Oryza sativa Japonica Group: one gene and its partners. The protein of the gene in region 3 binds, or shares a complex with, the protein of the main gene of each other region. Links are inferred from orthologs where the notes say so. Each region holds a gene or a part of one and is shown on either strand. Other genes may lie near its edges.

Evidence for each region.
Region 1: large ribosomal subunit protein uL15c (region 3) and large ribosomal subunit protein uL5c share a complex: the UniProt entries of both Arabidopsis thaliana proteins name them as parts of the 50S ribosomal subunit. The link is inferred for Oryza sativa Japonica Group from reciprocal best matches to the Arabidopsis thaliana genes RPL15 and AT4G01310.
Region 2: large ribosomal subunit protein uL15c (region 3) and large ribosomal subunit protein uL1c share a complex: the UniProt entries of both Arabidopsis thaliana proteins name them as parts of the 50S ribosomal subunit. The link is inferred for Oryza sativa Japonica Group from reciprocal best matches to the Arabidopsis thaliana genes RPL15 and EMB3126.

What each region holds. Positions count from the first base shown.
Region 1 is NC_089037.1:1,439,246-1,446,841, forward strand, and holds large ribosomal subunit protein uL5c, read right to left. Parts: upstream 3,939-7,596; 5' UTR 3,871-3,938; coding exon 3,568-3,870; intron 3,435-3,567; coding exon 3,234-3,434; intron 2,843-3,233; coding exon 2,507-2,842; 3' UTR 2,254-2,506; downstream 1-2,253. Other genes in the region: probable polygalacturonase, read left to right, coding at 822-942, 1,055-1,229, 1,325-1,395, 1,494-2,176; beta-carotene hydroxylase 2, chloroplastic, read right to left, coding at 5,224-5,313, 5,613-5,669, 5,793-5,918, 6,852-7,058, 7,143-7,205, 7,308-7,596. UniProt on the Arabidopsis thaliana protein: Binds 5S rRNA, forms part of the central protuberance of the 50S subunit.
Region 2 is NC_089039.1:18,887,372-18,895,617, forward strand, and holds large ribosomal subunit protein uL1c, read left to right. Parts: upstream 1-3,606; 5' UTR 3,607-3,785; coding exon 3,786-4,154; intron 4,155-4,260; coding exon 4,261-4,440; intron 4,441-4,550; coding exon 4,551-4,605; intron 4,606-4,871; coding exon 4,872-4,999; intron 5,000-5,460; coding exon 5,461-5,544; intron 5,545-7,068; coding exon 7,069-7,194; intron 7,195-7,275; coding exon 7,276-7,413; 3' UTR 7,414-7,738; downstream 7,739-8,246. Other genes in the region: putative NAD kinase 3, read left to right, coding at 219-524. UniProt on the Arabidopsis thaliana protein: This protein binds directly to 23S ribosomal RNA.
Region 3 is NC_089037.1:6,339,851-6,348,127, reverse strand, and holds large ribosomal subunit protein uL15c, read right to left. Parts: upstream 5,163-8,277; 5' UTR 5,104-5,162; coding exon 4,686-5,103; intron 4,520-4,685; coding exon 4,368-4,519; intron 3,382-4,367; coding exon 3,160-3,381; 3' UTR 3,146-3,159; exon of another isoform or gene 3,044-3,145; intron 2,404-3,043; exon of another isoform or gene 2,184-2,403; intron 1,393-2,183; 3' UTR 1,370-1,392; intron 1,257-1,369; 3' UTR 959-1,256; downstream 1-958. Other genes in the region: uncharacterized protein, read right to left, coding at 5,695-6,428, 6,598-6,671, 7,470-7,588, 7,658-7,723, 7,809-7,875, 7,979-8,140.

The DNA of each region.
Region 1 (7,596 bases), about 4.9 Mb from region 3:
TTCTCTCTCATCTTTTATCTCATTAAAATATATTGTAGCTAGCTAATAGTCTGCTATTGTCCCTTCTCTTACCGTCACACTTGTGACCAAACAGTCACACGCGACCGCCCTAAAGTTGGCGGGTACTAGCTACTTCCGTTTTATTGGCGTAGATGATGCTTTTTGCCAGGGAAAAACGCCTTTTTTGGTCTGGGGTCCCATATCTGTCCTCCCAGGCTCCCATCTGTTCTTGATGGAATCTCAAACTGGCAAACTGTTAATACGAACATTAACATGCTAAATGCCACGGTTACATGCTGTATTTTTTTTTTGTCGTAATCAACCTTATCTGATTGTCGCTCTCAAGAAATGGGAGGACAACGTATTAAGGCGGCGCTTAAATATGTGCCAAGAGCTGTATGTTGGGAGCTTGAACCCGGTGATGTGTCATTGCAATTGCGGTGGTTGCCTATTGTAAGGATGAGCTGGTGGCTATTGAATACATGTAAATGAACCGGTTTTGATCAGATAGCTGATTAATTAGTTTGGACCATTGAAGGTCAATCGATGTTAATGTGATCCGTTTCAGTTGCTAACCGTGCCGTACTGAGAGAAAGAGAATGGATTGGGAGTGTTAGGACAAAAGCTCTGCCATGTCATTTCAGAAATTTCTACTGTTATATGGTTGCTCCACTTTTATGCTTTGAATTTTGTCAGCACATAACTTGTGGACCTGCTACTCTTATCTGTTTTTGTTCACCCGTTTTCAGTTACTAGTGTAACTGGTTCATCTCTCATTATCTGAAGTGTTGACAGTCTAAGCTGTTCATTTCGTTCTTCAGAACTTGGAAGATTGGCCTCTGATAGCTCCTCTGCCATCCTACGGAAGAGGAAGGGACGAACCAGGCCCAAGATACAGCAATTTCATTGCTGGATCCAATCTCACAGATGTCATCATCACTGGTACACGAATGAATGCGTGATGAAGATTGCTATTTTCTCAACCTTTTCGTGTAACTGCTGTGATTGTGGTATATGTTTAGCTGTGGATATCTGAAATTGAGCAACATTTCAGGTAGGAATGGAACGATCAACGGCCAGGGCCAAGTCTGGTGGGACAAGTTCCACGCCAAGGAACTCACCTACACTCGCGGTTACCTGCTCGAGCTCCTCTACTCTAACAATATCATCATCTCTAATGTCACCTTCGTCGACTCGCCGTCATGGAATCTCCATCCCACCTACTGCACGTAAGAATCATCAGTACTCGCAACCAGAATTCAGTTTCTGAACGGTTAGATATAGATCATGATGCTCACCTTCTTTGTGTTCCGTGCTGCGCCAGCAATGTGACCATCAGCGGCATCACCATTCTAGCACCTCTCAACTCGCCCAACACCGATGGAATCGACCCAGGTATAAACATACAAGTCACACTGCACTTGATCAATGCTGCCATGAGGAAAGCATTGGTTTGTGCTAGATGTGATGAGCTCTTGTTGTCCATGGTGCAGATTCTTCCTCCCATGTCAAGATCGAGGACAGCTACATCGTGTCCGGCGACGACTGCATCGCCGTGAAGAGCGGCTGGGACCAGTACGGCATCAAGTTCAACATGCCGAGCCAGCACATCCTCATCAGGAGGCTCACCTGCATCTCCCCGACGAGCGCCATGATCGCGCTCGGCAGCGAGATGTCCGGCGGCATCCGCGACGTGCGCGCCGTGGACAACGTCGCCATCGACACCGAGTCGGCCGTCAGGATCAAGTCCGGCGTGGGGCGCGGCGGCTACGTCAAGGACGTGTTCGTCCGCGGCCTCAGCCTCCACACCATGAAGTGGGTGTTCTGGATGACCGGCAACTACGGCCAGCACCCGGACAACTCCTCCGACCCCAACGCTCTGCCGGAGGTCACCGGCATCAACTACAGCGACGTGTTCGCGGAGAACGTCACCATGGCCGGCAGGATGGAGGGGATTCCCAACGACCCCTACACTGGCATCTGCATGTCCAACGTCACCGCGCAGCTCGCGCCGGACGCCAAGAAGCTGCAATGGAACTGCACCGATGTCAAGGGTGTCGCCTCCGACGTCTCGCCGGTGCCGTGCCCGGAGCTCGGGGCGGCGGGCAAGCCATGCGCCTTCCCTGAAGAAGAGCTCGTCATCGGTCCGCCTGAATTGCCAACGTGTAGCTACTGAAATACTGATATAGGATGATAGTATGGTGTGGGTAATGGCCTGGGCTATGAGATGCTTGGGACCAAAGAGATATATATGATGTGGTTTAGTGAGTAAAGTTAAGCAGTTTGAAAATGCTGCCGGATAATCTCTTTACACCCAATTCATTTATGAGTGCTCATCTGCGAATGACCTGACCAAAGCAAAGCCTTTTCATTTTGTCTTCTGACAGTAAATACAGCACGTGACAAGATAACAAAATCATCAAACTTCTAAACGAAACTTTGCAAAAACAATGACAATTGACAAAGTGAGAAGCAAAGCTCAACGTGCCTAGGCAGCGGTTTGCAATCACCGTCTTCCCCTGCCCTTGCTCATGAAGTGGTGGCGCTTCAACCTCTTCTTCCGGATCACCACGGAGGACTTGATGTGCTCCGCGAACGGCATGCCAAGGAGGGTGAGCAGCCTGAGAGCCTCGTTGTCGGTCTTCGCGGTGGTGACGATGCAGACGTCCATTCCATTCTTCTTCCCACCGACCTCGTACGGGATCTCCGGGAACACGCCCTGATCACGAAGGCCTATGGTGAAGTTGCCATGGCCATCAAAGCTGTTGGGGTTGACACCAAGGAAGTCCATGGTCCTAGGAAGCCCAAGGTTGATGAGCCTATCCAGGAAGTTGAACATTACCTGCAGCAAGCCAAAATAAGCTCATCGATCAAACATATTCCCTAGGTTCCCAAATACTTGTCACTGGATACTATTCATATTTGAACTTTGATCACTTATATTTTTTAGAAAATAAAATGCATATACCTAAAAATATGCCATATTATTAAAGGTTGTTACTCCACATAGATAGGTATTAAACTTTCGTTCGTCCAACCATTTAAAATTTGTGGTCAATGTAAAATACTGACGGCCAACGGTGACAATAATTTGGAACTGGATGGAGTAATTGCAATTCTCACACATACTTTAGGCTATTATACTGTCATGCAAATCCCAAATTGATACAACATTGCAGTCCCCAATTTGTCAATGTCTGCATCGCAAGTAGCCAGAGGTACAGAGGACTCACCCTGCCGCGGAGCGTAACGGCAATACCAATGGTGTTCCCCTCGCGGATCTTGAAACTGGCGACGGACTTCTTGGCCTTCGTCTTGACGGGCCACTGGCCGGTGATCATGGCGAGGTCCTTCATGGCGGATTCGAGCCCCTTGGAGTTACCGGCTTCAGCCCCCAACCCGCAATTCACTACAATCTTCTCAACCTTGGGCACCTGAATAAAATCGAGAATCCAAAACACACTCCTCTAAGCTCAATTATTGAACAACAATCGAATTTCCCGAGTTCCGCAAAGAAATGGCCATGTCTATCCTATAATTGCGAGAAGGGAGACAGAGGTCGAACACCTGGTGGACATTGGTGTAGCCGAACTCCTCGGTGATGAGGGGGACCACCTTCTGGTCGTATACAGCCTTGAGGCGGTGCACCTTCTGTGCCTCGGTGGGGTCGACGAGGACGATGCCCGAAGGCGAGGTCGGCGGCGGCGCCGGCTTGGGTGGCGCGTCGGCCGCGGCGGAGGCGGCGACGCGGAGGGCTCGGCGAGGAGGCGGGGAGCGGAGGAGGAGGCGGACGTTACGGGAGGAGGAGGCGGTGGTGGTGACGGGGAAGGGGGCCGGCGAGGACGGCAGGGTCACAGCCGTGGCCGCCATTGGAGCGTGCGCGGAGACGGAGGTGGGAGCTGAGGAGGGAGCTTTATGCCATGGATGGATTACGGGATAAGGCGAGTTGGCTGTGGCTGGCTGCCGTTGCTGTCCAGTGTCGCAGGTGGGCTTTCTCGTCATGGTTCGGCCCATCGAACTGTTCGACATGGTTTCAGGCCTTAGGCCCATCAAAACCGTTGATTTGGGCCTTAGGCCCATCAAAACCGTTGAGTTGGGGGTGAACTAAACACGGCCTAAGAGAAGGGTAAAGTTACATGAGTCAACAACTGCAAGTCTGCAGTGTGTGAATTTCGATATATGCCTTGTTTTGGTCAACCGGTAACAGTGTTTGAGTATGTGGCCCATTCTGTATTTTCTAATGCACTACAGGACATCACTAGTATAGTAGTAGTATGCCATTAAACGATGACTTCAAACATAAAAAACGCCGATGAAGAGCTTAAACAAGATCAAGCAAACTCTGAACCTAGCAACAGTTGCTGGCAGATCAGCAGGAGATCTGCCACGCTTGATCAACATTGAAAAATGGACGGAATATCACGACGAGGATCCTCGTCACATGCTTATGCCTAACTAATCATGCAGTAACCGTAACATGCAGTTCTTTATAACCAGGGGACAATCACTAGGATCTGATTTGAAAGGTCCCAGATCACAACATTGCGCTTGCCCTACCTTGTTCTACCAAGGACCAGCAATGCCACGACCGTGATCCTGTGAGGATCGACTTGACACCAAGAGTAGAAACACAACGGACAATATCTTCCTTGTCAGTTTGCAACCTAATCCTGATAAACTACATTAACCTCCTTGACCTCAAGAAGTAACTGTCAGTCTGTGACCTTGTCACTTGTCAGGGCCTTAATGAACAGCCATTCAGCAGTATGGAGGAACCGCCTAGTGTGCATAAGCTTCATTAATTCTTCTTCACGGTCAAAAAGTAATCAGCCATGCATCACTTTCATATTTACATCCGGCACATCTCGTGAACAAGAGATACAGAATGTCGGCAAATAAAGAATATAAAAGAAAGTACACATTTTATCAGTGAACACCTCACTGTCAGCAGCACGACTCAACCAGACTAATAAATTCAGAATGGTACTGATTAATATATATCATTACCAGCAGTACTAGCAAAAGCATCAGCCATTCAGCCCCAGCACATCATTTCTAATACCTGTGTGCTCCACCGTCCAAATGAGCTTCCAAATATCTATCTAAATTATTCTTCTATTAACAGGACAGAAAAGCATATTACAAGGCTACAATTGCCACTGAAGCAAAAACTAATAAGAGATGACAGCAAATAAAAAGAAAAAAATGTGTGATAAGTAGCTCTCATTGGATCGCATCTAAGGTCTCTTTCCTCTTAATCCTCCTCTTGATCTCCTTCTCCAGCTCCTCAATCCCACCCACCTCCTCCAGCTCCTGTCAACCACATAAAACAGAGACATTTTAGAACATTTCAGACAATTTTTCCGACGATCACAAATATTTGTAATACATCTTAGAACATTTCAAAATTTCCAGTCCTTTTATATCAACACAGTTCAAATTCTACATTAGCTTCCCAATCACAAATTCATGCTTGCAATAAAGGAGTACTGCAAGTATGCAAACTACTCGACAAATGGACACCGTTGGAGCAGGAGTAAGCCAACAAGCATCCATGGTAGCATGGGGCACGAGGAAGCAAAGCATGAATAGCATGAGACACATCTCCTCACCTTGGGACCAAGGAACAGCCCATATGGCACACCTTCGAACTTGTCCATGTGATGTATCTGCAAGAATGAATGGCAGGCAAGGATGGATCAGCTCACATAAATTCAGAACCACGGCAAGAGAAGCTCAGAGACAGGGATGCGTGGTCGGCTGCAGTTAGGTGGAGAGCGACCGGGCCGGACCTGGTGGGCGGCGGCGACCCGCCGGAAGTAGGGCACGTTGGCGATGGGCCCCACCGGGAAGCGGCGGTGGACCAGGCCGTCGTGGACGAACATGTACGCCATCCCGAACAGCGTGATCCCGAGTCCCTGCGGCGAACGGACACGTCAGCACTTGGATCATCTCTGCCCAGAGCCCCAGATCACAAAAATTCAACCTTGGCAATCAAATTGAACAAAAAGAAACGCTGCTAGCGCTTGTATTTTACTTGTTCCGGTGAGACCGTTGATGGGTACCTCGCATGGGTGACCATGGCGCCGTCGCAATGCGACAACAATACCTATTGCTTTAGTACAATCTACGTTATAGGGGGAACTATTTAATCATTCGAGGGATGTTCTCTCATTTGCTTACAGAATATCCAAAGGTTATGAAATTTTTTGACAACACTCAGATAACATATCTGTGCAACTACATAAAATCTTATATTCAAACTCAACTCACACGTTGAGATATAAAAAATTAAATTCAATGTATGATTAGTAGCGTAATGTTCACATCTGAATTATCTTTTCTTTTATTCGTGTTGTGTATATGGAAGTTGAACATAATTTTTGGTGGACTGATAGATCTCACTATACTCTACATTATTACTTTTTAAAAAAAAAAATTCATAACTATTTGTATCGAATTTGAAAGAGAAAAATATACGAGATAACATCCCTCAAAGATATTAGAATCCATTATAGGTTTCTCTGGGAACTCATGGAGGCCAGGCCACTCCGTTTTTCTAAATTTTCTCGATCTCGAATGTTCAATTTTTTATTGTTTATCCGATGCAGCAAGGACATCAAGATCTTTTGGAGTTCGCTCTACGCTTTGGCTTCTCTTGACAGATAAATTCATTTTTTTTTGGCAGGCGGCCATGGAATGTGAATGTAATCAACTGAACATAGTACTACATCATGCACTTTTGTCATTTTAATACGGCCACGTTAAGCACGCTTGGTCAAATCCTGGTACAGTGTGTTTGAGAGAAGTGATGGGGATTTGGTTGAAATGGAGGAGGATCGACCACTCACCGCGCCGAAGCAGAGGCCGGGGACGAGGCCGCGGGTGAAGAAGCCGTAGGCGAGGAGGGACATGGCCGGGACGGCGTTGGTGATGGCGAAGACGTCGTTGAGCTCGAACGGCCCGTCTCGCGGGCGGTGGTGCGACTCGTGCATGTGCCACAGCGACGCGTGCCACAGCGCCCGGTGCGCCCACCGCGCCCAGAACTCCATCCCCACCTGCGCAAAATGGCAAGGCAAAACCAACACGGTTACACGAGCGACGCGCGGCGTCGTGCGGACGGTGCGTGTGTGTGCGCTTACCGCGGCGCCCACCGATAGCGCGAAGGTGCCGAACATTTCCGTGACCGGGATCTCGCCGCTGCCCTGGTCGAGCACGCGGAGAAATTTTAGTGCTGCGGCGAAGGAATTGCCGAATTGGGTAATGGTAAGATGCGAGCGGGAGTTTGGCGATGGCGTGTTACCTACCTCCATTTGCCAGGCGAAGCGGTAGTAGACGGCGGCGGCGGCCATGGACGTGATCCCGAGGCTGGACATCACCGCTGCCACCAGGTACGTCCGCCGCTCCGACTGCTTCCGCGCCGCGCGCTCCGCCACCGCCCTCCGCGCATCCTCCTCCGGCTCCGGCTCACCCACCGCCACGCGCAAGGGGACGGCCAGCCGCCGCGCCGGGAGCGGCGCGAACGCCAGCCGCAGCAGCGCCGGGGGCGATCGGTGTGCCGCCGCCACCGCGGCGGGGGAGAGGAGAGGGGCCCGC
Region 2 (8,246 bases), on a different chromosome or scaffold from region 3:
AGTTAACATGAATAAATATCCAGAATTGGCTTAATTTTTTGAAAGAAAATAAGAAAGGTGTATTAATGTGCACTTTTTGTTACTTCCTGGTCAATGATCTTATCATATTTTCAACCCCCCCCCCCCTTGAGGTGTATTTAAGCAAGGATTAGTTCTTCCGATTGTTTCTCATTTAAGTTATCTGTAATTTTGATGCTACGTTTTGCTACCATGCTCAGGTCCCAGGGATCCTTTTCACGCCAATCTGTCCCCATTCATTATCATTCAGGCCTTTGATACTACCTGAATATGTGACATTGCGTGTGCAAGTGCCAATCAATAGCAGAGGGCAGGCATGGGCATCCTTCGACGGCAAGGGCAGGAAGCAGCTAGGGCCAGGTGATGCACTCATCTGCAGCATTTCTCCATGGCCTGTGCCCACTGCCTGCCTGGTGGACTCAACAACTGACTTCCTGCGAAGCATCCATGAGGGCCTCCACTGGAACCTGAGGAAGAGCCAGTCGTTTGATGGCCCTGTTGCATGATCAATGAACTTCTGGTCTGGAAAATTCGATGCGTCTGTTGAATTGGTAGATGTGGTATTTCAAAGCATCTCCTCAACAGTCCAAGAGAAAGAGAAAAAAAAAAAAACCCTAATCAGATGTATGTACCTACGTCAGTTATGCCGTTAATTGTCTAACAGATCATCTCCTTTACCATTCTCTGTACACAAGATTTGTACTGTTTCTAGTATATTTTGGGCTTATAGGTCTGTGCAGAGTCCAAAGGCATGCCCACCATGTCCATGTAAAGCGCTTTTACATGATGAAGAGTCTTTGTACAAGAAGCAATTGAGCAGACTTCTTCACTGCTATTTTCTTCTTCACAAAAATATATGAATAAATAAATTAAATCTTCTCCATAGATTAATGTATTAACGCAGACGTGCAATAACCATTTTTGTAATTCTGTGGTGCTGAACTGTTGATGCCTAATGATCAGGGAATACCCGTGTAGTGACGTCCCTTGTGCCATGCAAAATTTCTCCAGAAGTACGTATCACACGCAGTCTAAATCGTAAATGGCCAGACCTGATCGCGGCTGCCTAACGCTAGTAAACAAAACGTTCACGATTACCACGCTGCCTCCTGCCTATCACGTGCGAATGCGATGCTGAACTGAACTGAACGCCTCTCGAGCTGGAGAGCGGTGCTACTACCAACTGCTCTGCATCACACGAAAATGGTGAAACCGAGAACTGACACCGTCTACAAACTCCACAATAAAAAAAAGAAACGACCACGGATAAGGTCCGCTCCAAAACCACAATTTCTTCCCCTTGAAACGGAGAGATATATGTCTGAATCTGTCTGTCACGCTCTCACTAGACACTAGTCACTCCTGGCGTTGAAAAAAACCAAACGAGCAAGTACCTGCCAAGGTACAGAACATTCGTAAGGAGAGTTCCAGAACGAGCAACGCATGAGGGCAAGTACTATGATGGTTGATGTGTTGCCTCTAAAAATGCCACATAGAATTAAATGATGAGGTGGAAGTAATAAGTGAGGAAAGAGAAAGTGAGCTAACTCTCATGTAAGGGGCAACCTCCATACAAACCCTAAGAAAAAGAAGATGAAAGAAAGAGGGGATTGGACAAACAAATAAAATATAATTATTTGGGTTGGTATGATAGAGGTGGTGTAGATATGGTGTGTTGTATATGTTACCTCTTATCTTACATGGATAAAATTAGATGTAGCAACTATTCCTACTATAAAACTTGCCCTGATTGCTATTACATATGGCTCTCAGCTGCAACCACACCGTCTCCCCGTCTCACCCTCCACACACTTGTCCGGCTTCCCCGCGCCGAGGCCGCGCCCCTCGGCGCGCTGCTTTGTCCAGCCGAACCAGCCGTTCTTTCCTTCATGCAATCCTGCCGCAAGTAGGCTCTCCTTCAGTACATCAACAATCAAAGACACTACTAGAATGCCCTCACTAACTAAGGACACCCATAGACTGACTCTGGAGGTCTGTCCTCACAGTGGAGGATACCCATACCTAATAGCTTCAAAATCTAAGGAAATTTAAGGGCACCAGTTGAAGACACGCATACCACAGTGGGTGTCTCGGCCCAAATAGCCGCCAACGACCTCGAGGATTTGGGGGACGGGCGCAAGAGAGAGGGGGAAAGGGGTGGAAGAGGAAATCCTCGCTAGGGCGTGTCGCCTGAAGCAACCGTACCCACGCAACGCTTCGACCGACGCCTGGGCGAAAACGAGCTGGGGGTGCGTCCCCAGCGAGGCATCACACGGTCTTGCGAGAGAACACCTCGTTTGCTTTTTCAAACGGAAGGAGACGGCGTCGGGTGGGGGGACGCCCTGGAGACACGCATTGTTGATGCTCTCAGAACCCATGAATTGCATAAGATTAAGACATTCAGTCCAATTTCTTCCAATATTCTTTCTAAAAGAGATCTTGTAAAGTTTGCATGTGACAAAAAAAAAAGAACTACTACATAACACTATACTGTTACAACAGAATACCTTATGGTGCTAACATCAGCACAGGATCGTAGGTATCATATTTGTATGTGCACTGGATCTGGTACTACCAGACACGATATCCATTAATACCACATTATCAGACTCTCGTATTGGTTCCTATTTCCTTCGTCCCATAAAAAATCAATTTCTAGGAATGAATCCGGACAACATTCTTAGGACATTCACAGTGCGCTACATATTTTTGCCGTTCCTCATATGCCACGTAGACGAAGAACCTGTTAAGCTTCATCCTCTACAATGCAAGTACTAGTAGTGGGTCCCACCGGTACAGTTTTTTCAATTTTCATCTCTCAATCTCTCTCTCTCCTCTGTTTCTTTTCTCATCCGAAATCTTTCATCCCCCAATCTCTCACTCTATTTCTTTTCTCACCAGGGCATCCGAGGCGCTGGGGCTGAGCGGCGGCGGCTGTCAGGGCAGCCCGAGCTGCGACGGTGCCGGACGGCGAGCTCCCATCCTCATCATTGGATACGGTGGCGGTCGCAGCCTCTTCGTCGATGGCGCCTTCCTCTCTCTCTCTCCCCGTGGCTGTGGCGACAATGCGCTCGCTGTCGACGCTGCGCGAAGCCACTCGTGTGAGGCTCCGCCCTCCACAACACGACAACTCACCTTTCTCCCTGCTTTCTTCGTTTGAAGAACGAGTATCCATGTTTGGGTACGAGAACCTTATTTGGCTCCGCGTACTGTCAATGCGGCGCCGAATATTCAGTTCTTGGCTATGGGGCTGAACGTCACATCCTTCTACTGTGAACACTCTTAGAAGTTGTATCTTTTGGGATAGAGAGTGTAGGTACTCTGATGGTACGGCCAGACATTTCTGATACTCTCGCAACTAACAGATTATGGGTAATGGTTCGTAGTATTTTTAAAAAGTAAATAGCACTACATTATCGGTGGTTCTTTTGGACCGTACCCAGTAACGGCGAAATCGTGAGCTTTTGGGCCCAATCCGACGCCCGCGGCGCCGCAGCGCACCACCCTCCCCCAACCGTCTCCCCCGCGCGCGCGGGCACACACGGCTCGGCTAATCCAAAATAGCCCAAATCGCACGAGTCCTCCCCCGTCCCCCGCGACGCGCGAGCGAGAGAGAGCCCTATCCGCTGCGCGCTTCGCCCGCTCGCCTCGCCCTCGCCTCACCGGCTATTATAACACTCTCGCGCTGCCACTTCGCCTTTTCCTCCCCTTTCTATCCTCCACCTCGGCTTATCTCCTCCCCCCTCCCCACCACCACCACCACCACCATGGCCACAGCCGCTTCCCTCTCCGCCACCGCCTCCTCCCTCCTCGCCCCCGCCCCCGCCACCACCGGCGCCGCGGCGGCGCAGTGCTGCTCCTCCTCGTCCACCGCGCTGTTCCCCACCCCCGTCCCGTCGCTGCGCGCCTACTACCCGCGCCTGCTCCTCGCGTTCCGCCGCCCCGCCGTCGCCGCCGTCGCAGACCCGCAGGGCGCCGTGCTCGAGGAGGAGCAGGGGGAGCAGCAGGACGAGGGGCAGGAGCAGTACGACGACGACGACTACGACGACGGGTACGAGGGCGGACGCGGCCCCGCGTTCACGCCCCCCACCCGCCCGCGCACCGGCAAGGCCGCCCTTCCGCTCAAGCGCGACCGCGTATGCCCCCCCCGAATCCAGCCTCCCCCCCGCGTGTTCATCCATTCGTGTTGATTTTTGGATTGACGCTGACGCCGCGTTCGCCTTTTTTTTGATGGGTTTGCAGACGAGGTCGAAGCGATTCCTGGAGATACAGAAGCTGAGGGAGAGCAAGAAGGAGCACGACGTGCCCACGGCCATCTCGCTGGTGAAGCAGATGGCCAGCGCCCGATTCGTCGAGTCCGCTGAGGCGCACTTCCGCATGAACCTCGACCCCAAGTACAACGACCAGCAGCTCCGCGCCACGGTTATTGCTCTTTCTCTCTGCTGTTGCCATTGTTACGTACGTTCTGTTCTGGCTTGTGTTTTATCAATCGTTTTTGATGATATTGGATCGGTTTTGGTGATGATGTGCAGGTTAATTTGCCCAAGGGGACGGGCCAGTCGGTGAAGATTGCGGTCCTCACACAAGGTGGGTTGCAATTACATTTTGGAGATTGTTATCGCAGCACCAATTCCAATTGCAATCTTTGGTGCATGGATTGATTAGGTCACTGCTAGTTGTGTCTTTTAGGTGTGGTTTGCCTGCTTGATCATGTGGTTATTTACGGTTCATTAAATTGGAAGCACGCTGTTATATAGTGAATTGAAATGGAAGTATGTGAATGCGCGCTAGTCACTAAAGTGGTGCACTAATCACTAGCACTATGTAATGGCTATTGTCAAATATCCTTGCAGGTGAGAAGATAGATCAAGCAAGAGCTGCAGGAGCTGATATTGTCGGTGGAGATGACCTGATTGACCAAATAAAAGGAGGATTTATGGAATTTGACAAGCTGATTGCATCACCTGATATGATGCCTAAGGTATGGCATTAGCTGCATAACTCATGTCTAAAACAATTCCAAGCATTATGAAGACTTGTCTTTTTGCATGTCTCCGACATAGTTTATCCCACATCCAAATGAACACGTTATGTTTCAGTGTTATTAGGAACCACAAAACCAGGCAACATTTAGTTGTATTGATCAGATATTGTTTTCTTATCATTACCTGCCATATCTGATCCATCCCTTCATATTACAAGTGTCTAGCATTTACGATTATGATTTGAGCCATAATGGAGATATGCAAATTTGGTTCACTCAGAGAAAATAGATTCGATAAGCAAATAAGGTTCTACTGTTTTGAATTGGTACATTCTTCGGAAGTTTGGATGCAGTTCTGCAATAAGTGTTGAGCTCCATGCAAGACCTGCATGGAAGTTTTAAAGGTGTGCTACTAGCTCGGCATATTATGTTGTTGATTTTGGTCTTTTGCTTCACAGGTCGCCGGATTGGGAAAGATTCTAGGACCGAGAGGACTTATGCCTAACCCCAAAGCTGGGACTGTTTCTCCAAACATAACTCAGGTACAATGGAAATTCTACAGATTACTATATGTATTGACACTGTTGCTTGTGGTTTTCTCTCCCATTTGCTTGGTTATTGTGACCCTGAGTGAAAGGTGGGTAACTGTCCATTTACCTTCTTTGATCCTTGGTGAACTTCTGTTTTATCCTCGTTCAATGCAATAGGCAGAACTCCTGCCCTTTTGTTCAAAGAAGTTGTCCATTTACGTCATCTCAGTACTTACCTCATAGATGCACTTCTGGGAGAAAACCTACTGATATATTGCTACCTTGTTTAGTAGTCTTCATTGTGTGTGCAATATATTTCAGTGGTTCGATTTTCAGACATGTTGATAGACATTTTTTTAACCTTGTTATTCGTAGATAGAAGGTTTGAAATTTTGTTTGTGCCAACTGAATTTGAGGATATGCATGGATGCATAGCTCCATCGTTCGTTTGTTGGCTTATCAACGGCAGCCAAAATCTGGATTTTGAAACTTAATTTAGAATTGATTTTGAGGGGTTTTTTTTATTGTGCTTTATTCTCCAGTGCTGGCTTTTGAATCGCTAAGAACATAGATATAGACGTTTTACTCAAAAGTTATTTTTGGTTGCTTCGTCATTTTTCCACGGCTTATCAGCCATAGAGCAAATGATCGTGTAATGACTGATGATGATGGTAATCTGCTACTTAGCCTGCATAGTGCCTCCGTAACAGTTATGTAAAGCATCACAACAAATCTGCAAAATAGAGAAAACAGGTAAAGTAGGCTACTTGACTGTTAGGAACAACCATCATTTATAACGGTTAACTGAAGGACAGGAGTGGGAGCATTTGTGAAAAATCTAGCCCTTTAGGTAATGAACTGGGCTATATTGTGCTCATATATCTATGAAAAGGGCCCAATTTCTCTAATTTAATACTTCAGTAGATAGATTCAAGGCTGCAATATACAAATGTAACCTTAGCATCAGCCATGACTACAATAATTGATTAATGCTCATACAGCTATTTTCAAATGAACATGGGAACCTCTAAATCTTGTCAATCCTCGTTGTCTCTATAAATTGTTCTTCAAATCAAGTCTGCCTAATGCCAACAATGGTTGAAGTTGTGTACCAGTCATCTTGTTCTATTCATGTTTCTACATGTAGAGAAATTCTAACTTTTGCCATTGACACACATGTAAAAGGATGTCATTGTTTATAATCATATAATGTCATTTGTGATTGTTGTACCAGTACAAAACTGAAGTATTTGAACATTTTGCTTGAAGTATTAAGTTGTAAATGGAGATTGACAGGGGCGGAGCTACATAGAGCTAGGGGGGTGCCCAGGAACCCGGTTGAAAATTTTTTTTAGCTATAGTTTGTCCATTTTCACCATATATATACTCTGTCAGTTCAAATTTAGACACCCGTATCAAGCTAAATTTGATTCAAACTAGAGTAAAGCAAGCAAGTGGAACCCCCCTTCATTTTGTGCTAGCTCCGCCCCTAGAGATTGATTATGTTAATTATGTTAACTGTGGAAATGGTTTCAGGCTATCGAAGAGTTCAAGAAAGGTAAAGTTGAATACAGAGTTGACAAGACAGGGATTGTTCACATTCCCTTTGGGAAGGTTGATTTTCCTGAAGAAGACCTTATTGCAAACTTCATGGCTGTTGTTGTAAGATATCTGCTCCTATAAGCATCTTTATTGATGTAACTTAAAACCTATGCTGACCTGCCTTCTGCTATATCTTTACAGCGCTCTGTCGAAAGGAACAAACCATCTGGTGCAAAGGGGATATACTGGAAAACGGCATACTTATGCTCATCAATGGGGCCTTCAATCAAGTTAAACATCAAAGAAATGCTTGACTATGGCTCAGAATCATCAGACTAAATGCCACGAAAAGCACCAGTTAAGAAATCTGGTGTTTGCTACCACCTTCACAAAATTAACCATCCACCCTTAGCGATAAATGAACCGGGAAACATGGTGGGGGAAGGCAAGGGAGGTGCTTAGGTACAGTTTTTTTTTCAGTCTCACCTGCATCCATCCAGCAGTTACACGATGCCCAAGTCGACGAAGGGGTGATATTGTTGGCCATTTGTACTTACGAGCAAATTATTTACGGACTTATAGATGTGTTTTCTGAGATGTTTGTTGTAATGATCAATATTTTGTCCATAGTCATCCTTGAGCTTACGACAGCAGTTTATTCTCACCAGTACTTGCGGTTCCTGAATCGTTGCAAGTTTGCATTGTGCCATTTTTGAATGATAGCAGCAGCGGTTCGATTTATGCGAGAATAGTAATACAAGTACTATCTGAAGCTCTTATGAAAATTTTCTGAAAGCAAGCTATGTATCACTCGAGCACATTCGGGACTAGAATCGTTTATATAGATGTTAATGGATTAGACACTGAAACGGAGGAAGTACTATCTTACCATAGCAATATAAATATAGATATCTATATTAATGGTACGATAAAATGTTTTATGTAGTATTAACTTGCTATATTTTAAAAAAGAATAAAATATGTTTCATTTAGTATTAACCTGCTACATTTTAAAACGGAGGAGGCAGTCGTATAGCGGAAACTAGGATATGATGCTAATGATTTCGATACGGAGTACTCTGTATTTTCTTAGTTTCAAAATGTTACTGTCTCCCATCTTAAAAACAAGTAGTACTAATAGTCTAACATAACTATAGTCTATCCATTCGGTT
Region 3 (8,277 bases):
CAGCCCGGCCTCAGCTTTGCTTGATGGCGGCAGCTGATAGTGCTCTGATAGGCCATACTAGCGTTTCTCCTGTGCCACATTGACTATAGAACAGCGTAGCACGAAGCTATCACTCGTAGTTCTAAGTATCCCGATCAACACTATAATACATCCATCCTTCTACAATATCCCGATCAACACTAATACCATCCTTATACGCTTACTAATTACTGATACTGCTGGATTATTATTACACGCATTGCTGGATCAGTTCGAGAGGCAGAAGCAACAAGTCAGATGTATGTGCTACAGTACTAGTGTCTTCAGTTCCCCCGAAACAACATGAAAAGCACATCGCCCTCTAATAACAGCCTGTCGCCATTTAGCATTCTGCTATGTCCAAATTCATCCAGAACAGAGTTCTTGAATGTATTCCAACTTGATGCTAACTTCGCGCCACAAATCTTGCCCGACATGGCACAGTGGTGATCATAGATCATCTGTCTACTCACACGCATAATCCATGAGCAAGAGATCCGATCCCTTGGCAGGGGAGTCTTCGGATCAGTAGCACGAAGCATACGTATACACCAATCTAATTCCATGGTGATATCTCTATTTATGATTAAATATGCAACAATAAATAAATGACTTCATTTTTATCTAGCTTACTCCTTCCGTCCCAAATTTATTATACTAGGGGCCTGTTCACTTTGATGCCATTTTCAATCTTACCAAATTTTGGTAAAGTTGCCAAAAAAGTGACTATATTTAGTTTGCTGCCAAATTTTGATAACTATATATGCCAAAATTTTGGCAACTTTTGGGCATCAAAGTGAACAGGCCCTAGGATGTGTCGCATTCAGTCCAAGTTCGCTATATTTTGAAACGAAGAGTACCTTGGATCAATTTGGAAGGAAATATAAGTTTTCTAATGCTTGCAATCGTAGTTAAGGACAACTACATTGCAATAATAGGCTAGTGGCTTGTCTAGATTCATTAGCATCCATATGAACATGGACAATGCTAAAAAGTCTTATAATATGAAATATTATAAAACGGAGGTAGTATTAAATTGCTGATATGAACATGCAATGCAAGCACAACTAGTCAAGATCTTGGTACGCAGTTCATAGCAAATCTGCACTGCACACTGAAATGAAGGGTAAATTTTCTTCTATGCCACTGGAAATTTACCCAAACCCTTATTTGCCAGTCATTCTCCCGATGCTGCGTGGACCTAGGGCCCGAATGAGGGCGATGATTTGCGTGTTAATCTAAAATACAAATAAATTTTATCATCAAAAGGCCATAAATAATTGTTTTTGATCAAATGGGAAACATCTCAACAAATTAACACCTTCACAGTCAAAGATGGAATAGAATTTACCTAAATAGTCAAGACTTCTTTTCCTAAAGAAATGTCGAAAAACAACAGGAAAATAACAAGTATGAGGTATAATTGAGATTATGTAAACGATTGAAACAAGAAGCAAATCAAACAAAAGAAGCATCAACGTCCACAGGGAGCAAGAGGGTGCAAGAATGAATCAAAGAGAGAGGAAAAAGAATTTCAAGCTGCAGTAAAAGGTGAGTTATGTCACCCTTTGAACTAACTCCTAAAGAAACAAGCAGCAGTAAGTGGCGATTTAAATCCCTGAATAAAAAATGAGAGAACATGAACATGAAGTTCAAAATGATGATATAACTGTAGTCAGTTTGAGCCTTTGAGGAGGGATGTGCTGTCCTTATTGTATTAAGTCAAACAAGAAACTACTTGTAATTTATGTGACAGTAGATATAGCAGTGTCCTTATATAACTTCTTCAAACAAGCAATATTCATGGATGAGTTCTGTTGAAATTTGTGTTCAAAATCAATTGTTAAGCACACATAGAATGACTTGCAACCCTATATAACATTTGCCCATTCTTGTCACTAGATGAACAGTGCAGCAATTAAGTGTGCATGCCCCCATGTGTGTCCAGCTGTCCACTTTCCCAGGAAATCACGAAATGTATACATGGACAATTAAGAAGCCCACAAGTTCACATTATCACATATGGGCATCAATTAAGACACTGAAATGATAACTACCTTCTTTTGAAAAAGGCAGGATCAAATAAGCGAAACAGAGTTTAGCTCCTAGATGAACCATCATTGTTTTTGTTTAGAAAGACTGTCACCAAACTATAACACAACATGGACAACAATACTATAGGCAACTTGAAGTATAAGTGCAAGATCACAAGAGGGTGAGGGTGTGTGTTGGGGGGTATGCATACTGACATTTGACATACATCACATTTAAAAGAGAGAAAATTCCTTCCATACCCCTGAAATTTTAGCCGATCCCTTCTATGCCCATGAATTTCCTTCACTCCCTTGTATACCTCTGAATTTTGATTTGGATCTCTTCCATACCCTTGCCGTTAATTGACCGTTTAATAGGTATATAAAAGTCAGTTTTACCCTTCAATATGTGAGGAATATGTAGAAATTTGTAAACTATATTGTTGGAAGTATAAAATTTGTTGTGTGATTATCATATTCATAAGTTTTATGTACATAAAAAATTTAATATATATTTAAAAAGTACATGTAGCATTTTTTTAAATGATAAACATAGTTTTGGAAAGCATTCCTATATAATATATACAACAGGAGAAAATATGTTGAACTACCATAAACAAATGCTACATATACTCTTTTAGTAGGTAAATAAATATTAGTTTTTATGTCATTAGGTAAAAATAAACTTTGCCATGAATAATACCTTGTACAATAAAGTCATGAATATGATAGTCTTATATAACAAAATTATACACTTCCAACAATATAGCTAGTCTACAATTTTTAGATTTCCTTCATGTCTAAGGGCAAAAAGGTCCTTTTCATTAGAATTAAACATTCAACTAACGGTATGGGTATGAAAGGGATCAAAACCAAAATTCAGGGGCATACAAAGGAGTGGACAAAACTCGGAGGCGTAGAAGGGATTGGCTAAACTTTCAGGGGTATAGAAGGAATTTTCTCCATTTAAACAGGAAACACACAAAAAAAAATGCTTGCATATCGCACGGATTCAAAATTCGTTGAACGTGGAACTTTTGGAACAAGGTAAGAGAAATAAGTATATGTTAAAGAAAAGGGTAAAGGAGAAGTACAGTGTATATGAATTCTATGCAGATGCTTCATCAGATTCACCAGCACCACCATTTTTCTTGCTAAAGTATTCTTCTGCACGAGCTTGGTTCTTCAGATAAGATTGTGGTAGCCATTTCTTCCGCTTTGGTACCAGACTTAAAGTACAACCAGCTGCCTCGAGCTTCTCCTTGGCTGAAGCAGAGAATGCCCCAGCCTTGATATTCAACTTGACTGATACATCACCATCTCCTAAAATCTACAGATAGGTTTTCAAAAGTTAGCATACTAATACTACCCGCATGATAAAAGATACAATAACAACAGCAACATTGCAGTATCATTGTACTCAAACAAAGATGAAAGGAACGCCATCTGCTGAACATCAGAATCAGATGTCAAGAAGGAAAAAGCCTATCATAAGGATAAAGTTGATAGCTCCCCACATTATGACTTAGGTCTTGATACCTGTTTTAGCCCTGTGGGTTTTACCTTATATGTACCACATAGCTAGGAGCCTAGAGTATAGAAAAAATCAATCAAATGAAATAGGACCAGAAAGAACAATAAAAGTTGAACAATTATGCTATTCAAGGTGCATTAAGTTCCACCCTTGGAGAAGTCTTTGTCACATCAGTGATCAAGCGCCACACCACTACCCACTATAAGGGGCAACCCAGTAGCACACTAATGCATCTACTCCAGCAATCCGCCAACTAAGAGTGGAGACAAACAGTAAATATTTTGGGTATGTTGGGAGTGATGCAGACATGCAGTGGTACATGTAAGAGCACATGGTTTTGTTGGGATCTTGATACCACTTCATGTTTATGCCTGACAGATATGCTCATATGCAGGCCTACACCATGTGTGGGTTCATCATAACTCATACGTTCTAGATCCTTGAGTAGCCAATAGAAACACTCGTCAAATCATACCGTGTTTGTCCAACACGAGCTAAGAAAATTGATCCCGACACACAACTTTGAGACTTCGAATACTCAACTTGGTAATTGCTGCTAAGGACAGACCAACACAGCAACATTTGAGAACTACAAGAAAAAAAAAGGCCAGCCATTCAATCCACAACATCAACAACTAAAGGATTACCCAAGACTGCTGGTGAACTTGATGAATTCACTGGCAAAGATCAAATGCAAGGCATTCATATTTCAGTTTTCAGTAAAACATGGTCATCTACAGAACCGACTTAAAAAAAAGAAGGATAATCGTCGTATAGTGTACCTTCAGAGGAAGCTTTCTCTCCCTGCCAGACGGATTAATCAAACCCCTCGATTTCAAGGATTCCAATGATATCTCGTCACCATCCTTGAACCCGCCACGCGCCAAGTCTCTCAAATTGAACGGCACATACTTCGGCAAGCCAATATGCATTCCTGCAATCGCAAGGTAGAACTTGCAACGGGTCACTTCTCAATCCCAGCATTTCTGCATTCCAAATGGAAGGTGCTAGCGTGTTCCCACTCAATTTCCAGTGCATTTGAATGTGTGAGGCTTCGATTGAGGGCGAGGAGGGGAAGCGGGAAGCTCGAAGAGACTCACCTCCAGCAATGCCGCGCAGCTTGGGGATGCGGCGGTAGAGCGGCATCTGCCCTCCCTCGAACCCGCGCCGGACGCCTGGCCCCGAGCGCGACTTCTGTCCACGCATGCCGAACCCGCAGCTCGCGCCCTGCCCCGCCGCGATACCGCGCCCCTTCCGCTTCGGCCGCCGCCGCGACCCCTTCTGCGGGCCCAGGTTGTCGAGCCGGAACTTCTCCGCGGGCTCCGCCTCCGCGGCCTCGGCCGCCGCGGCGCTGCACACGACCGTGACGCAGCGGCGCGGGCGGGCGCGGAGGACGACGGACCGGCGGCCGGAGATGGGGCCTGGAGCGGCGACGAAGGAGGTGGAGAGCGAAGTGGAGGCCGGGAGGTGGAGCAATGTGGCCGCGGGAGCGAGGGAGAGGAGGGTGATGGACGCCATGGCGGTGGAGCGGAGAGCGCGCCTGAGCGGCTTGCTGGTGTGGGTGGATAGAAGGGGATAATTGGGGAAGGACACGAGGGAGATAAGACGGTTGGATAAATGGGCCATGAATCCAATTAACCCTTGGGAATTTGGGCCTCTTTTCCCTCTATTTTGTGAATGGTTTCGTATTACTCACTTTGCTTCTTGTTTATTAAAGGATTTTAGAAGGTTTACAAAAGTTTATGAATAGAATAGAACTGAATTTATCTTCTTAAGAAATGAACATATTTGGATTGATCTTCCACACACAATCAACCAAAGAGAAAACCTGATCTTTGCTGTTCTTCAAGAGACTAGTACGGAGAGAAACTGATGGGTCACACAACCTGACAGAGTTAAGTATACTGAACTGATCTATGCTAAGAAAAGAAAAGGTGAAATGAGAAAGGAAGAAACGAAGACATGTACAAGACACATGCTTCACAGGATCGTCCCGTTGCATGTCTAGCAGTAGACAGGTGCAAGGAATTAAAAGTAAGTGTTACAACTGTAGTCTGGATAATTGTACGTCCAGGCCTCAGCTGAAAGAAACTAATGGAACTCTGGCCATCAACCATCTGAAATGTCAACAACGATACCTCTAGTTGGTGAGTTCAATGGTGACGATGCAGCTTGGCCAGCTTGATCCTCTGCTGCTACATGACTACTTACAGGATGATCTGGCAATGAACTTACATCAACTCGATTAGCTTGCACATTTTCAGATTTGTCATTGTCCCCCTGGCTTAGGGGGTAAGAGCCAGCACTGCTAGAATTTCTGCCATTTTCTACAAAAGATGTAGAACTAGCACCTTCACTGCCACTATTGGATTCCCTAGCAAGAACAAGTTTCAGTAACTTCTGCCGCTTTCTTCTTTCGGTTCTTTTATTTATCAAAGGCACCTCATCTTCATCTGACTCATCCACAGAATAGTAATTCAACCATTCAATGATTACAGAGTAGGAACCATCCCACTTGCTTATTTTTCTTTTCTTCTGTCTGCTGCACTCTTGATTCTTCTTTAGTGAGGTTGTTCTTGGACGCTTCGGTGCTTCCTGAACAGTTGTGGCGGTTAGACGGTCCAAACCAATATCCTTTGACAATTTGATTTTCTTATTAGCTGTGTCTCTTGAAGAGGACTCCATTCCAGAAATACCAATAGAGTCATCAGGAGGAAACCCAGCAGAGGTTTCTTCCAGTTCATGCTTATTGCCTTTTCCACCCTTAATTGATGCATGCGCATTGTGCCAACTTCCAGGGGCTGATTCTTCAACTTTGCAATCAGGTGCTTCTACAGATAAAGCTACCAACAAAAATTAGCAGTATCATCAATTTGTATGAGTAGGCATACTAAGAGTTTAAAATGTATATCTGCAGTAAAGAGTCATCTCAAGGCATTTCAACAAAATAGACTGTTTTATGGTCTTAAAATGTTATCATAACTGGAACCTCCTTTTTAAGCCAAATGTTACCTTTTGAACCCTCTACACAACCTGATGATGATCCTTGAACTCTGTGATAGCTACCAGTGCACCGCTTCTTGTGCCTATATATATATTAATACAGAAAGCCAAATCATGACTCCATCCATGAACTCAATGACACTAAATTTAGAGTAAGTTGCATCCCAGGACCCCAAGGAGGAGAAAGAGCATGATAGTTGTTCAGGTATTACTAATCTTGTTTGGCTGCTGGACATGTCGATTTCACCTCCAATAAAGAAAAATTTATGTCAGATCATTTACCACTTTTTAGATTATGCAATTGCCAAAGTGACAGGACAACACAAAGAAAATGTTAGATATTGAAGCAGACACCCATCATTACCTTCTTAGTTTAACATCTCTCTTTGTCAAATTTAACAATAATAATAGTTGATTTATTTGTTCATCACAAACTGAGGTTTACATCCTACCTCCCACATTGCAAGGATACACTAACAAGGCAGAGAGTAATAAATTACACATTTTGGAAATTACACAGTTAGCTTTAAAATGTACATCTAGCTTATATTTCTATGAATATTTATGTGCACTCTTAGGCTGTGTTCAGTAATGGAGGATGGGAACCTATCCCCTCCGCACGGAAAACGGAGCGGTTCATTAGCGCATGATTAATTAAGTATTAGCTAATCTTTTTTTAAAAAATGGATCAATATGATTTTTTAAAGCAACTTTCGTATAGAAACTTTTTGTAAAAAACGCACTGTTTACAGTTTGAAAAGCGTGCGCACGGAAAACGAGATGGATGAGTTGGGAACTGGGGATTCCGAACACACCTTTAGAGATATACCAATAAGGCATGCATGGAACAAAAAAAATGCAAAGAAATATATAGCTAATACCAATGCCAGTGACAAATTAAACTGTCACACAAGTCATTAGCACCCATTGCCTCAATGCAGTCATCCTGTGATGGTCCTTTGATTTTGGTTGACTTGATCAAATCTCCACAGCTTTCACACTACAGAGATTGTTAGCTGCCAATCTGAAATTAGAAAATAAGATTTACTTTTAAAGATCAGGTTCTTACTTTGTGTATATAAAATTTCTTTCTGATCTCATGGAACACAGTTATGCTGTAGCCACCAAGAGGACGCTGGATATAATTAAAAATATCGTTACGATAATAAGAAATATTTAAGCACATGCTGATTGAAAATTGACACCTGAATTCAACTTACATGAGGATCGGCTACAGAGTTTAAATTGATTGTATTCATCAGTTTCTGGAATTTTGGCCCATGGTCACTGCTTGATCACAGTTTTTAAATTAGTCAAAACGAGAAAAAAAAAAGTAGACAGAAATTCAGGTGTAATACAAGAAGAGGCCAGTCATGGTACTAAAAAGTACCTATGGTTATCATTACTATCTTTGATGCACATATAAGCATGAATCATTTCATGAAGCAGCGCATTCTTTAAATCCAAATCTGTGTGGTGTTCATACAAGGATCTGGAAAGAAGTATAATACAGCCACCACCACCAGGATAATATTCACAGCCACCTACTTCACTGCATCAAAATGATTAAAAATGGAAAGTTTCAAAACAATCATACTGGTAATAGCAGGTACTATGGTCTTTGATGAAAGTTTCTTATTTCAGAGAATAACTATAGAAGAAAACAATTATAGGCAATAACTCACAAAG